2 linked regions of the Oreochromis niloticus genome follow. The protein of the gene in region 2 purifies or fractionates together with the protein of the main gene of each other region. This does not show direct contact. Links are inferred from orthologs where the notes say so. Each region holds a gene or a part of one and is shown on either strand. Other genes may lie near its edges.

What was found.
Region 1: the proteins of ttc4 (region 2) and edrf1 purify together in Homo sapiens (affinity purification with mass spectrometry; 3 studies listed by BioGRID and IntAct, counting the BioPlex papers as one, with this or other methods). This does not show direct contact. The link is inferred for Oreochromis niloticus from reciprocal best matches to the Homo sapiens genes TTC4 and EDRF1.

What each region holds. Positions count from the first base shown.
Region 1 is NC_031978.2:13,923,536-13,930,994, reverse strand, and holds the start of edrf1 (erythroid differentiation-related factor 1), read right to left. Parts: upstream 3,138-7,459; 5' UTR 3,032-3,137; intron 3,007-3,031; coding exon of another isoform or gene 2,943-3,006; intron 2,864-2,942; coding exon of another isoform or gene 2,734-2,863; exon of another isoform or gene 2,582-2,733; intron 1,987-2,581; exon of another isoform or gene 1,897-1,986; intron 1,618-1,896; 5' UTR 1,610-1,617; coding exon 1,502-1,609; intron 601-1,501; coding exon 392-600; intron 1-391. Other genes in the region: si:ch1073-143l10.2 (autophagy-related protein 16-1), read left to right, coding at 2,734-2,863, 2,943-3,006, 3,143-3,227, 3,538-3,611, 3,982-4,233, 4,354-4,472, 5,388-5,461; tex36 (testis-expressed protein 36), read left to right, coding at 6,334-6,384, 6,472-6,612, 6,738-6,812, 6,913-7,233. UniProt on the Homo sapiens protein: Transcription factor involved in erythroid differentiation. Involved in transcriptional activation of the globin gene.
Region 2 is NC_031981.2:3,039,140-3,046,871, reverse strand, and holds the start of ttc4 (tetratricopeptide repeat protein 4), read right to left. Parts: upstream 3,074-7,732; 5' UTR 2,925-3,073; coding exon 2,817-2,924; intron 2,215-2,816; coding exon 2,097-2,214; intron 1,996-2,096; coding exon 1,834-1,995; intron 1,732-1,833; coding exon 1,654-1,731; intron 742-1,653; coding exon 617-741; intron 513-616; coding exon 426-512; intron 19-425; coding exon 1-18. Other genes in the region: pars2 (putative proline--tRNA ligase, mitochondrial), read right to left, coding at 4,304-5,185, 5,289-5,534, 6,105-6,428.

The sequences.
Region 1 (7,459 bases), on a different chromosome or scaffold from region 2:
TTACTCAATACAAACTAACTGTGTAACAATTAGACTGATGAGCAATAATTAAAGTCTTCGTCTTCAACTGTATCCATAATTCACCCACTCACATCCTAAATGAAAGTGCAGCAGCTTGAGGGGTTTTAGTACTTTGAATTATGTAGTGAAAAGTCCTCCACTGTGAGTTTGAACCATAGTTTTGCAACTATGCAATACTCTATTCCACACCTTGTTTATTGTGGATAGAGTATCAGTCTTCATGGGTCGCAAATTACATTTAAACAAAAGATATTATTCTTGGTGTAATGATAAAAGTGGTGCCTATGTACCTCAATCATGAGCTTGACATCAATTCAAATTCAATCTTTCCCATAAAAACGGAATACGTGCCCCCTTTTCTAAGTTATACCTGGAAAAGGGCTTGCTCTTGCTGCTAGATCCTAATATAGTGGTCCCAGCGGTGCCCAGCTGGGGGTTTTCTCTCAGCCAGTTGGCAGGAGGTAGCTTCAAGTCGGTCTTTTCCTGCAGAAGGGCATAGCTGGTAGGTGGTGGGGCTGCACAGTACTTGACCACAGCACGGCTTTTGATTTCACTGCTGCCTGAGCATATTGCTGATTCCTACAAATAACAATATCAAGCTTATTAGTGTGAAGTTATGAGAATGAATGGACAGCACTGACAGAGTAACAATTTCGTTTTTACTGAAATGTATGATAAAGATCTTGGCTCCAAGCCTTATCTTTTTAAATAAGGATATGTCTGGCAGTTGATTATCATGAGTATACTATGCACACTGATGTTCTTCTGTCAGCTGCACCCTTTTGGGATCACCACAGTTGATCATCTGCCTCCTTTCAACCCATCTGTACCATCATGCTCTGTCAAACCAACTCTCTGCATTTCCTTCTTCACTGCATCCACAGATCTCATCAGTTGTCTTCCTTTTTCCCCTCCAGCTCCATATTTAACATCTTTTGTCCAGTGAATCCACTATCCCTCTCCTGCAAATACCCAAATGCCCTTTTTGTCAGTGCCGCAGTCTCCAAACCATATATCACAGAAGGTTTGTAGGCCTTTTTGATGTCCTTTTGTCACTAATCACACCTGGAACTCCTCTCCACCCTCTCCACCCTGTATGCACTCGCTTCTTCAATGCTCTTGTGTACTGTCCGTTACTTGATGATGATGACCCCAGGCATATGAAATCCTTTACCTTCACTAATTCTACTCCTTTCATCTACACTGTCTCGCTCCCCTGTCACCTGTCTCGCTCTTATTAACTCACACGTATTATGGCTTGCTTCTCTTGACCTTCATTCTTCTCTCCAGAGCATTCCACCACCTCATCAGGCTCTCCTTCACCTGCTTCCCACTCTCACTAAAGCTATAGCATGTTTACAGATGGCACTATAAATCCACTGTGGCCTAACTCAACATTAGCACTTCAAATACTAATTAATGAGTGTTACACATGACAACATACTAGATGGTAGATTATCCTTGCAGACTAGTTACTTACATGTTTACTGTTGTCTCCAGTGCAGGTAGGACCACTGACTTCTTCCTTTGCATTATCCAAGGGGATGCAAGGCTCTCCGTCTCCAGTTGATGCGCTCATACTGGACATACGAAGATCTAATTCACCAAACAACTCCGATTTAATAAACAAATAACATATCCATGGCTTCGACAAGCCGTGGACCGTCTATACATCAGTCAACGAATGAGGTAAGTCAACATGTTGGCAAAGTTAGTTAGCTAGACAAGCTAGCTCCTCGATAAAGAAACGCTGACACGTAAAGCTGTAAAATGAAAGTTTCACTAGACTAATTAAACCTAAACGACACGAAGGCGAACAGTTTTCATTGCTTTGTAAACGACTAATGTTTAGCTCTTAGCTCCGTGACTACTTACACAAGCCTGTAGCCTGCAGCCAGTCTATTGACAGAGCAGTCGCAAGTGCTAGCAATAAGCCAACAACAACTTCCTGTTTCAAGGCAAAAAGAGTTACAAAACTAATTTTATCAGTAGTTTCGAAGAATAAAACTTTTCAATAATATTAAAATATTTACATTTACATTTGAAGGCTATAACTTTGGATATTTGTTTTAGTCAAGGAAAAATATTTTATCTGAAACGATTTATTGTGAAAAATAGATGAACCGGAAGTATTTTCATAAGTTCTTTCTGGAAAAGTGGAGCACGTTCTTCTGATACCTTTTATTCTGAAATTGACTGTTTACACCACTGTTTTTAATTTAACGTGAGCTTTGCATGTGGTGTGATTTTTCTATTTTTAAACAATTTGATTCAGTGTGAGGTATGCAAACAATTGCAGTGCAATTCTGTTCAGCTGTTAAAAACCCGTAAAAAGTTGTGATACTTTTAAAAAAAAAAAAAAAAGTATCACAAACAAAAACATTTAGGTGCAGGGATATTTTTGTATAAATTATGAGATGATAAGTCATGAAAATATTAGCAGTGGAGGGACAAGTTAAGCATTTAAGTAATTATATTCGAGTACTAATGTTTCTCCTGTCCATAATATAATATAATATAATATCATATAATATAATATAATACAATATGGATCCTTGTAAGAATGTCTAGCCAGGAATGTCACGCTGATCAGTGAACAGGGAGGAGCTGTGAAACTTTGCTGAGTGCATTTAATTCCTGCGTGGATGGCACAGACTTCATGTGAGGGCTGAAGACGCTGTATTCCCGCTGCTTTAGTATAGTCTATTCTGGATGCGCAAACGTGAGAGGTTTTTCCTTAAAGTGTCCATTATAATGGAAAGTTGGAAGAATCACGTGCGCCAAGGGCTGCAGCATAGGGACCACAGAGAAAAGCTCCCGTTTGTTGGCGTTTTCACAAGCTGTAAGATTAACTTTTCTCTGCCTCTCTTGATGTTGTCCTCTCTATCAGAACCTAAGGACGTTTGTCTGTTTTCTTTTAGTGTCTCAGCTGGAGGAACGCTTTGAACTTCGCGAAGAGATTTTGGCTGATGTTCAGTCTCAGAGGTTAGAAATGCAGAATTTAACTTACCCTACATCTGGCGCTTGTGCTGATCGGTTTGTCCTCTGCTTGATTTTTTTTTTTTTTTTTGTAAAGTATTTTAAATCTGCACGCTTGTTTTTTTTTTGGTTTTTTTTTCAGTTTAGAAAGACATGGAGTTGAGGTTGGGGGAAACGCCACACTGCTTCGACTCCAGCTGAGAGAGAGTGAGCACCTGGTAGATAAGGTGGGTTAAATGAGGAGTAATCCAATGATTAAACGCCCCAGAGGCTCAAAACCTCCACTACAGGGAAGACGTCTACGTAAAATGCAGAGCAGCATATTTGCATTGATATGCACGAACACCACATCTGACAATCTGAAACAACTTTCAAAGCATTTGAACTTTATTTTAAAAAATGAATAAATAAATAAACATTCATTATTGCAACTGGTTCAGAGGAGTGGAGAAAATACTTTAATAATCATCTTTAATGGGTGTGTGCTGTTGTCTGCTTTTGAACTGGGTCACTCCACCCTTTGTTTTGTCTACCCAGTTATCTCAAACTGTCTCCGACCTAACCACCGTCCTCCATCTCAAAGAAGCTGAACTACAGTACTGGCAATCACGGTAATTCAAATACCTTGGTCAGTACGACTATGATTCCAAGATTAAAATAACGCACAGACAATGTAAAAGCAACACATGATGGACCAGATTGAGGTAAGTGTTAATTCATGGTATATTTCAGATCTAGTAAAGGTAATTTTCAAATTAAGTTTCCCCATAATTGCTCAATATGTTGCCGATTAATCCTAGTAAATAGTTAATTTGGTCATATAATAAACTTATTTTATATTCATAGGAATACTGAACCACTGAAATAAAGAAGTATAATTTTCCAGCTTAGGTTGGGAGGTCGATTAGGTCGATTGTTGGGATTTTGTATTCAGAATATAAGGGATCAGTTCGTCACCATTATAATACTTTGCTGTTACAGTGTGTCTCAGTTCCATCAAGAGGCACTTACTCTGGCTAAAGGGAGTAACACCCTGAAGGAAGCCCTTTCAGAATATGAGTTCACCATAGAGTGTCAATCCAAAGAGTTAGCAGCCCTGCGTGTGGATCGGCAATGCCTAAAGGAAGCTCTTGCAGATGCACTGGGAGAGAAAGAACGGCTATTGCAGCGATGGATGGAGGAAAAAAAAGAGGAAGCGGACAGGCTGAATAATTACAATGTCACTCAGGCAAGGTGAGATAATGAGTTCTGTGTGACTTGCAAAGCTCAAAAATTTAAACGTGTTAACTTTATATGATAGCATAATCACACTTTAAAGCTGAAAAGTTATCTGGGACTGCTCCCTTTTACCAGGTGGCAACATTTGACCAAACATCTGAAGAAGCGCCTCCAGAAAGGTGTGGGGAAAGAGCGTGAGCCCACACTGACCAACTCTTCCAGTGATGCAGCACAGTCTACATCAGCCATTCAGAGTAAGAATCTGCATATAGATATTAACACACATTAGATGCAAACAAATGGCTGACTTTTAGGCCGCCCTTTTTGCTTTTTAAATTAAGAAGCTTTATGTCGTAGGTTAAAGAAAGGTGTGTCTTAGTGGTGAGCTGGTAATATGATACACAAAAGGCTAATGGAAAAATAAGAGAATAGTGCAAAATTATATTCTTTGGTTTGTCTGTTTGTTTTTAACCATCTAACTAGATAGCAGTGGCAACTTCATAAGAGTTACTGTACATGAAGTACTGAATAGGAACTCTTGGACCCAACTACTAATAAAACCTAATAGTAATTAAGAATTTAATAGGAAATTCATGTGCAACCACTTTGATATAATGCTATTTTTAAGCAAGAATTTTTTTTCAATTCAATTCAACACAGATATACATAAAAATATACAGATATACGTAAAAAAATAGCACAATCAAACATTCAGCACAAATCTAATTAAAAGCCAGTCTAAATAAATGAGTCTTAAGCTGCTTTTTAAAAGAATAAATACAATCAAGGCAACGTAATGATGGAGGGAGAGCATTCCACAACCTGGAGGCCACCGCTCTAAAAGATCTCTCTCCTCTGGTCTTAAAACGTGTTCGTGGGACTACCAACAGCCTTTGATTAGATGATCTCAGGCTGCGAGAGGGAGCGTGAAGTTCTAACAGATCAGAAATGTAGGCAGGGGCATCACAATTCAAAGCTTTAAAAGTCAGTACCAAGATTTTAAAATGAATTCTAAAATGTATGAATGTTGCAATAATAGTGAATACATCAAAGTCATGTTTTTTTTTACAGTTTCCAGCCACTTTAATCTACAGCTCAAGACCTTTAATTCAATGTTTGGTCAAAAGAATCAATGGTAATTGTTTTGTGTCTGCCTATCTTGTCCTCAGGGATCAATATTCCAACAGATATGCACAGTGGACTCCCAGACCAGTGTCATGTCTCGGGTCCACCACAGGCCTAATATTCCCTTCAGATCCCAGGGAGAACTTTTTTTTCTTCTCCCCAGTGCTTATAGATGAAATGATGACATAAATAATGAAAATGTAGTTTGTTTTTCTTTCGTTAGGACAAATTGCTCACATGGATCTATTTTATTTTTTATTATTTATCTAAAAATATATTTAAAGATCCACTATACTATGCAAATTTGTTTGTGACGTATAGTTAGTGCCTAATTTTACATCACAAGTCACCCTGAAGTTTAGCTGATCACATGTGGACGTCGTCTTCATGATCAACGCTTCAAACCCTTCTGGTTCTATGATTCTTTTTCTTTTAATAAATTAACCTTTGAAACAACTTCATCTGGTTTTCAGTTGTTTGAGGGTTTTTTTTTTTAACATTTTAATTACTGTTCAACAAATTAAACATTTAATAATTTTGAAAAATCAAGCTCAGTGTTAGTTTACTGTACACTCTTGTATGTAATTATGTGTTACTGTCTTCTTTATCACCTGTAAAAGAAAATAAAGAGACTTTTATGCCTTTTTTTTTTTTTTTTTAATCCCCTCTCCTGAACAAAGACTATCATTTTAAACATTGCATGTTGTATTCCTTAATTGATTAAATATTAAATACTAAGAATTTCATTGTGGGCTATTTCTCATTCTGTTTAATCACAAATCTGAAATATTTCAAAATGTTTGGGGTTGTTTTTTTGTTTTGTTTTAATCATCAGAATTCAGTTCCGATCTCTAGGATCTGATTGCAGTTTGTTTGCTGCCTGTTTCCATGGTCACCAGTGTTGGCATTAGTAGTTAAGTTGCACAGTGTGTGGAGTGCTTGTTTGGTTTTACTGATTGTGGTCTAAACACCTCAAGCTGTAGTGGGAAAATGGTAAAAGGCGGAAAGCGGCATTTTTCAGTGAGCACTGATTGCAAATGGGTAAGAAGTCTTCATTTCATTGGATAATTAAATCATAGCATTCTAAACCTAGATGTGTAATTAAGTTTTCCTTCATTTTGTTCCCAGTTTGCTCATTCAGGTTTATCAGAAAATGAGACAAAGACTCAAGAGAACTGTACAAGCACTGGGATCATGCTGACTCAAGTGAAGTCATCATTGCCTCAGGCTTTAAACTTTCAACGCTATCCTAAATGGAAAAGTCAGCAGGTGTGTATGTAGATAAGGCATGGCCTTTTAGTCACTGCCAGTGGCCTTGATAGTTTTTCTTGGACTTGCTATCAGTTGTGTATTTAGTTGCTGTCCCAGTATGTGTTTTATGGGTTAACTTGCAGAAATCCAGAGAGTATCCCTTCTCAGACCATGACAACAAGCATGCCTTGAAAGACGACGTCATTGTATTCTCTCATGTAAGTATGTAGGGAAAGGTTCAAGGCTTTGCTGAACACAAGATTCACCACATTATACCTTTAAAGGAGACCGTTTCTATTCTATGTTGATGTACTTCAGAGTGTGGGAAGGAGAAGGTGTCTTGATGATCGCAGACAGCACATCTCCCGTTTCTGCCTGTGCCATGGTGGAACTGACAATGGCACCAAAGAGACTCGAGGGAACGTCACAGCCTACCAGAGTGACTTCATAGTGAAAGAGGTTGTTGACTCTGCATCCAGAAACCGGCGCTTCCCTCACAACCACAGGCAGAAGTCTGCAGAGGCAGCTTTGGCACAGGCGGGGGAGCAGTTTATGTGGTTCGGACGAGACGATTCTGACCAGTCTGACACCCTGCAAGTGCTGGCAGCTACCAACTGCTCAACACCATCCAAGCCTTAAGATATTCTTACATCTAATGCCCAGATGGCATCATTAGGGGGCCATAGCATGCACAGAGCTTCCTTCACTTGCATATGAGCTGTAATCCATTAAAAATTGTGAACTTTACCAAGATTTATCCCACAGCATCCTCAATATCAAATGTTCCAAGATTGAAAAAAGCATTAACATAGTTTAAATAACATTTATTGCATAGAAACTATGCAAAGTGATTACTTTCAAAGTT
Region 2 (7,732 bases):
GAGTTTGATGCCTCGATCCTGTGTATAGATGCCAAAATCATAACTGATATAATTTCGTTCTCTGTGTTCATTTTTCACTTAGATAGTGAAGGCAGTTTAAGATGCATCTTCTAATATGTAGGGTCAGCCTCTTGACTTAAGCCCCTTGCAGAATCGGATGGTTTGTGGCGGTTGCCCTGGCCCAAGGGTGAAGACGAGACCTGCGCTGCTAACGCATCATCCGGTGACGGGCCCAATAACTACGAGCCTGTGGCTGGGCTTGGACTTGATAGCTAGGCGCCTCCAGCAGGGCTGTGGCAGCAGCTGGACTTGTGATTTCTAACTACAAATCTGCAGCAGCGGCCGGGCAGGTAGCTGCCAATTAGTGTCAAATACAAATATGTGTGTGACGCGTGCGACGTTAGATGCTCATCTCTAATGCTTACCTTTATGGCATTTAGAAGAGCTTCTTTCTCACCATGCAACTTCTTTTCTTTAGCCTTGGCCTTCCTGGCATCTCTCTCTGCTGCTCTCTAAGATACCAAAAACAAATCAAGGTTTATTTCAGCGCTTTAAAGTTTTCGCCACTTCTAAAAATAATATATTAAAAGACAAGGATCATCTGAAGTGTAGTTACTTTGTGCTTATCTGCCACTGCTCTCAGCTCCCGCAGCTTTTTGTCAGTAGGATGAACCTTGAGCCCCTCGTCACACCACTGGATGGCCTCTGAAAAGTGGCGCAGCTCTATACAACACTGAGCGCCTGCAGAAGCACAAACATGGGATTCATTTGCTTTCTAAGAGATAAACAGACAGAAATCTGGAGCTTCTAAACTGAACAGACAGTGGACTCTGGACTTTGTAGACTGGTGTCAGCAGAACCACCTGCTGATCAACGCCGGGAAAACCAAGGAGTTGGTGGTGGACTTCCGGAGACGCAGACCCACCACACTGACACCGGTGAACATCCAGGGATCTGTCATTTTTTACAGTGTGGTATGTTGGAGCAGCAGTTTATCGGCAGTTGAGAGGAAGAGGTTGGATAAACTCATCAGGAAGGCCAGCTCTGTTCTGGGATGCACCCTGGACCCAGTGCAGGTGGTGGGAGACAGAAGGACTCTGGCCAAAATAACATCTCTGATGGACAGAGTCTCCCACCCCATGCATGGAAATGTTGCTGAACTGCAGAGCTCCTTCAGTGACAGACTGCTGCATCCTAGATGCATGAAGGAGTGTTTCCGCAGGTCCTTCCTCCCTGCAGCTGTCAGACTGTACAATCAGAACTGCTCCCAACAATCATAGATGTTTACATCTGCGCTGTAACTGCAATAAGTTAATCAACCGATTCGCACTACAACCTGGTTTACCTCTTATCTGTAGTTATTTATATTTAATTTAATAACTGTACAGTACTCTGTTTATAGTAACCATTGTCCTTAATGTAAATATGTAAGAAAAATTGTGTATGTTTCTGTTCTGTGTACTGTTTGTTTGTATATGTGTCTTTCTGGCTGCTGTTACAACCAAATTTCCCCTTGTGGGACAATTAAAGGATTATTCTATTCTATTCTATTCTATTCTATTCTTCTATTCTATTGAAACCAGTACTAGATTTCCATGCCTAGTAACACAATGTCATCATATCATAGCAGTACATGTTAAAAACATTACACACCTCTGATCAAGGCTTTCAGGTGGTCTGGCTTGAGCTTCTTTGCAGCTGCAGCATCATTCAAAGCAGAGCGCATGTTTCCTGAGTCACGGAAAAAAGAAAAACACAGACATATTTTTTTTAAACAATGTCATCTTTTGTGAGAGCGAAAGGACATTTGGATGCTTTTTTTTTTTTTTTTACCAAGGTAAAAGTGTGATGCTGCACGGTTGGTGAGGAGGACAGCATTGAGGTCCTGGTCTGCACATTTCTTCTTCAAACCCGCTGTGTAGGCCACCACCGCTTTTTGGTAGTTCTTCTCTTTGAAATACGCATTGCCTTCATCTTTCAGGCTTTTTGCTTGCTCTGGAAAAGAACGTGTTTCTCACATTTATTCAACTGTTTTCAACGAATACATACCGAGCAGCTTCAAAGGCTTGGAGGAGAGAAAGCTGTGGTTCGCATACCTTCAGGAGGCCGGTCTTCGTCGTGGATAATGGACTGGAGGCAGGCTAGTTCTGGGTATTTCTGTGGGTCGATCTCTTCAGGGGCATTTTTCATGAACATGGGTATTTTATTAAACTCCTGCGTGAGACAGCAGTAAATTTTGGTATTATCTGATACAAGTAAAGCCAAGGCCAGTAATGCCGTTACCAATATGGACACTTTAATACTTTTAACCTCTAAGGGCAGCATACAGAGTCGGAGATTAACCATCATTAATTTGCAAACTCTGAACACATTTTAATAATCACTGTGATTTTTACCTTTCAGCTTCATGTATTTTGAAACTGAATTTTTTGGGGAGGGGAGCTCGAACCTAAATGTGTCTGTGGGCTATAAATAAAATACATGTGACAGTCAACACAGAAAGGTTCAGACATTTTCCATAGTGTATGTTTGAGGTATATTTTACATTACCAATAAAAATAACTTAATTTAAAACAATTCATTGGGCTACAAACTGAACGTGGAGAATAGAAGCAAAGTGTCGATTCTATCGCGCTAGTATCGATCCGATACCAGCATTGGTACCGATTCTACTTTTGATATCTTCACGAGGTACTGAGCATGTTAGCATCTTATTGCTAACCACCATCAATAAAAACAAAGACGTGCTAACACATTTCATTCGGGTTCAAGTGGCTTTGTATCTAGTGCACATAGTCTCCGCAAGCCAACGTTACCTCCTCCCAGTCGTTTTCACTGAAGGCATTTTTATACCGCTGGGTCTTGAATTTGTCCATGAACGCGTCCATGCCATCGTCGCTGTCACTGTGTACTGTGGACGCCATTTTGGATCAAAATATACTTTAAAGAGCTGCTTCTTGTTTTTAAATCTTACATTAACGCTGACAGCAGTCTGTCCAGCTAACCGTTCCTCAAGTTGCCTTGTTTACACATGTGTAACAGCGGTGCCACATGCGAAAAAATCCGTGTGGAAACTCACTTCCGGCAGAGCGTTCCACTCCTCGTGGTACGAAGTTGCTCCGAAGCTCCGACGGCAGAAGTAATGCTCTCAAAGCACCGTTACACTTAGTATTATTAAATAGGTGGAAGTTTCTTTTCTAATTATCCCGTTAATTATTTCAGCCTTACTTGTGTGCACCATGGAAAGCAACGCTAACACTGCCCCCACTGTAGCGTAACTCTTGGCTTTTTGTCCACATTTTGAGGTCCTTGCTTTACAACATGCACTGGGATAACTATTTTTGTGCTAAAAAATAAACTTGCATTTATTTTAATTTTTCAGGGACCATGGACATCGTTAATGTCAGTGTATGTATATGCATGTATAATTTTCAACTGTTGCTTTGTCCTCTGACCTGTGTGAAATAAAATAATCAGATGCTTATTAAAAGAGAGAACCTGAAACTGTGTGAATGCGGCCGAATGTCCCATAAAACGTCAGCTCTGAAAAGGGTCTTTTATTACACAAGTATATGTGCAATTCTTCTTCTGACGAAGTTGTATTTTTGTATTTTCCTACTCAGTTGTATATAGTATTTGTATTTCCATTTTATTCTATTGTAGATATTATTCTATTCTATTTTATTCTATTGTATATGGTATTTTATTTTATTGCTTTCCAGTGTTTTCTCATTTCTGCTACATAACTTTGCACTTTGCTGTAACAAAACAAGTTTCCCACCTGTGGGACTAATAAAGGTCATCTTATCTTATCTTAAGACAAGTTAAGTTTACTGTGACACACTGATCTCACTCCCAATCTGGTTGAGTGTTTTATTACATTCATGTTGTGACAAATTCTCATGTACTTCATGCTGTATACTGGCCTACTTACAAGGGATATCTGCATTGTAGGATACCACTCTAAATACTACTAAACAATGGGAATATATTTACCAACTTTGCTTTTCTTTGCTGTCTCACTTTTTTGCGACATTCATAATTTGGTTCTAACCAGCACTGATTTGTCCAGGTACAGATTAAATTTTTATTAGGATTATTACATGACTCACTGTAAAAAAAATTAAGCTGTGGACTCCATTATGTTGTAGTGTACAATGCAGGTCAGGTACATAACAGAGCTATTGTTTAAAAAACGTTTATTCAATGTGTAGATAAAGGCTTTGGAAAACATGGAATAATCTATGCCCACCACCTCACACCCACAAACTGAAACATTTATTCTAACATTCAAACTTGTTACTCATACAGTTTCCACTCTTCCCAGTAGATCTAACAGTCCATCTCTACTGAGGAACACTGTCTCACCTGTCTGCTGACAGATCACCTCAAACCTGGGTGTTTCCTCCAGAGCTCCCTGTCCTACTACAATAACATATGGATAACCCAGTTTGCTGGCGTCCTTCAGCCTCTTTCCGATTGTCATCTGTGTGCGGTCATCCAAAACAACTTCACCTCTCAGCTGTGGCAGAGTTTCTCCCAAAGCTTGGACCAGTTCCTCAGCCAGGAGTGTTGCCTCATCCACCTTACTGCCCTTCTTAGGGGGTAAAACGCAAACCTGATAAGGTGCGATAAGACCCGGCCAGCGGATCCCCTCTTCCGTTGACATCACCTCGACGGCTGCCGCCAGAATTCGCGTAACCCCGAGGCCGTAGCAGCCCATCTCGGCGACAGCCGGCTTGTTCTGGGCATTGCTGAAGGTGGCTTTGAATATGTGAGAGTACTTCTTACCCAGGTAAAACGTGTGGCCTACTTCTATACCCTTTGACTCTACCAGTTTCCCAGTTTCACACTGTGGACAGTTGGACTGGTCTGATGACATGGTCTCCACATTGGCGGAGAAGGAGCAGCTCCCACAGACCAGAAGCCGATCCTCGCCGATGTCCGCCGGCAGCTGGAACTCATGGGACAGTTTACCGCCGATGTTTCCCGTGTCCGCCTGCACCTGAACGCAACGCAGACCCAACCTGGTGAAGAGCCGAGTATACGCTTGGCAAACAGACTCGTACGTCTGATGAGCGGCTTCTTCGCTCACGTCAAAGGAGTACATGTCCTTCATGTAAAACTCCCTCCCTCGGAGAAGACCAAACTTCGGCTTTGGCTCGTCTCTGAATTTGCGGGTGATCTGTTTTTTGGGTTTTTCCAAAATAAATCATGTCAGAAAAAACAAACAAACTGCAGCTTGTTGCAGCAAAAACACTGACAGTAAGAACGGGCTGAATGCTTACTTGGTAAAGAAGCAGTGGGAGCTGTCTGTAGGAGAGAGTCGCCTGGTGAGCAACGAGAGTCGTCACTGCTTCCTCGTGAGTGGGACCCAGGCAGTAGTCAGCGCCGTGCCGGTCTTTCAGGCGGAACAGCTCCTTTCCCATCAAATCCCAGCGCTCACTGGTTTTCCAGAGGTCGGCCGAGCACAAACTGGGCATGTCCAGCTTCTGCCCTCCAATCCCCTGCATCTCCTGGTCAATCACTCTCACCTGTTGATCAAAGACAGCAGTTCAAATCAGGAGGTTGGAAGATAAACATCAGCAATCACGCAAAAATTGATAGGAAACTAGAAAAAAAGGCATTTCTGTACCCTTTTCCCTTTAGTCAAGAGCTACTGTTTGACTTTATCATTTTAGCCCAATAAACATATAATCTAATCTAATATATTCGATTACATAATCATATAATCTATGTGATTAGATTAATTAGGTTTTATAATCTTATAATCCACAATAATCTAAGAGGGAAAAGAGACTGTCTGGACAACGTTCACAACCTAAACTAATGTAGAGCCTGTGGCAACAGACTACTGCTTTGATAGACGCCATGTAAGAGGATGACTGTCATTCTGAACCTGTCATAAAGCAAATTATTGAGCGTGTTATTATTTGTAAGATCTAAAGGAACATTCATACAGCATTTGCACGCCCCAGGATAAATTAACAAAATGAAAACAGTATTAAAAAATTCTTAAAAAAAGAAACTATTATCAGTTCAGTTACTTGGCAGGACAAAACCAGCCAATAATATTACTTTATTATTATTATTATCACTCTCACCAGCTTCTCCATGGAGCGGATGGTGGCAGGAAGGTAGTAGTAGCACCCTGGGCTGGATGGATGAATAAGCCCAGCCTGCTGCATGAGCCTCTGGCTCTTGCAGCTCATCTCCCCTGGCAACCGGCTGTCCTGCGCCACATCACGTAAGTTCGAAGGCTGGTAGAGACGAGACACCAGAAGTACGGGCTTTCTACCACAGGAGGGCGCGGAAGCAGGGACGGCTGCCTGCTCAGCACAGCCTGAGTCGAACCTCTTCGGAAGGATCAGGGTCCTGTGGAGGCGGCGAAAGGCTCTCTGCCAAAGCTGAAGCATTACAGGCTCCATGGTACATAAGGATGTGCTGCTATTCAAAGAGAAATGATAGCACAATCATTTGAAGCTGGATAAGTGACCTCACCTCGCTAGTTAGCACACAGTGCCACGTAATAACTGCAAAATCCTCAAATGTGAGATTTTTTCCCTTTTTCATGGCTTATATGACAGCTAAGTTTAGAGTTTTTGACTGCTAGTTAAACAAAACGAGCACTGAAGAAACATCCTCATCACAGAGCACTCGTTCTTCTTTACTGGCCATTAGGAAAAATCTGTGTGTTTACATGGAGATATTTTTAATACATTTCCCAGTTTTTCAATTTTATGATACTTTTCACAGAAAAGAAAATATGTTCACGGAACACTGTAGTTTTTACTCTTTCATATTTATTGTGGTAACACTTTACACGCACTTATAATGGACTTCCTCCATGCTACGCTGCTTATTAAACCTCAGTGAAGGGGGTGAACCATCAGCACAGATGCTTTTTTAGGTAGCAGGTTATTTCATATCCGAGAACAAGTTGTTTAACCCCAGTAATTATATACAGGTTGTAGGGTTTATCCAGCCGAAACAGCCACGGGTTATTACACAAATACAGAGGACTGATAGCTGTTTCACAGTGCTGATGTCCCTGACAGATACATGGATGCTAGCAGGTTAGCTTGGCAGCTAATGTGAAAATGACCTTCTTCAGTTTGCACGCGATATCACGTATGCAGTAAGAAAGACTCACCTTGAGACCGATAACCAGTGTCTGACTGTCCTGTGTAAATTATATAACTAAATGAAGGAAGAGCCACATTTTTTTTACTAAGTTCGCAAAAACACTGAAGGTCCTGCTACACTACAACATGCTGCGTTTCTTCCTCAGCTACATGTCGACAGGCCCCTTGTCTGAGAACGCCCCCTAGAGGGCCGGAGGAGTACTGCAGCAGCAGGGGGCAGTTTTGACTCAGAGAATATGGATGAGATTTGTCACAAAGCTGGCTCTTTTAACAACAATCGCCATGAATGAAATCCAAACAACATAACAATGTTACTTGATTAAGTGAGTAGAGGTGGGCGGGTCTATCCAAATATCAACAGTATCGACACCAGTATGAGAGTGATAGTATCGATACTTTGTTTCTGTCATGTAAGTTCAGTATGTAGCACACTGACATGTGTTTAATATTTTGCAATGAAAAAATATACATCAAACATGCACATTGAGAAATGTACAAACTGTTTTGTGATAAAATCTAAGCATGGATATGTAGATAATAATTATTTAATAATTGCATAATAATTCTAAAAAGACGAGGTTGTAAAT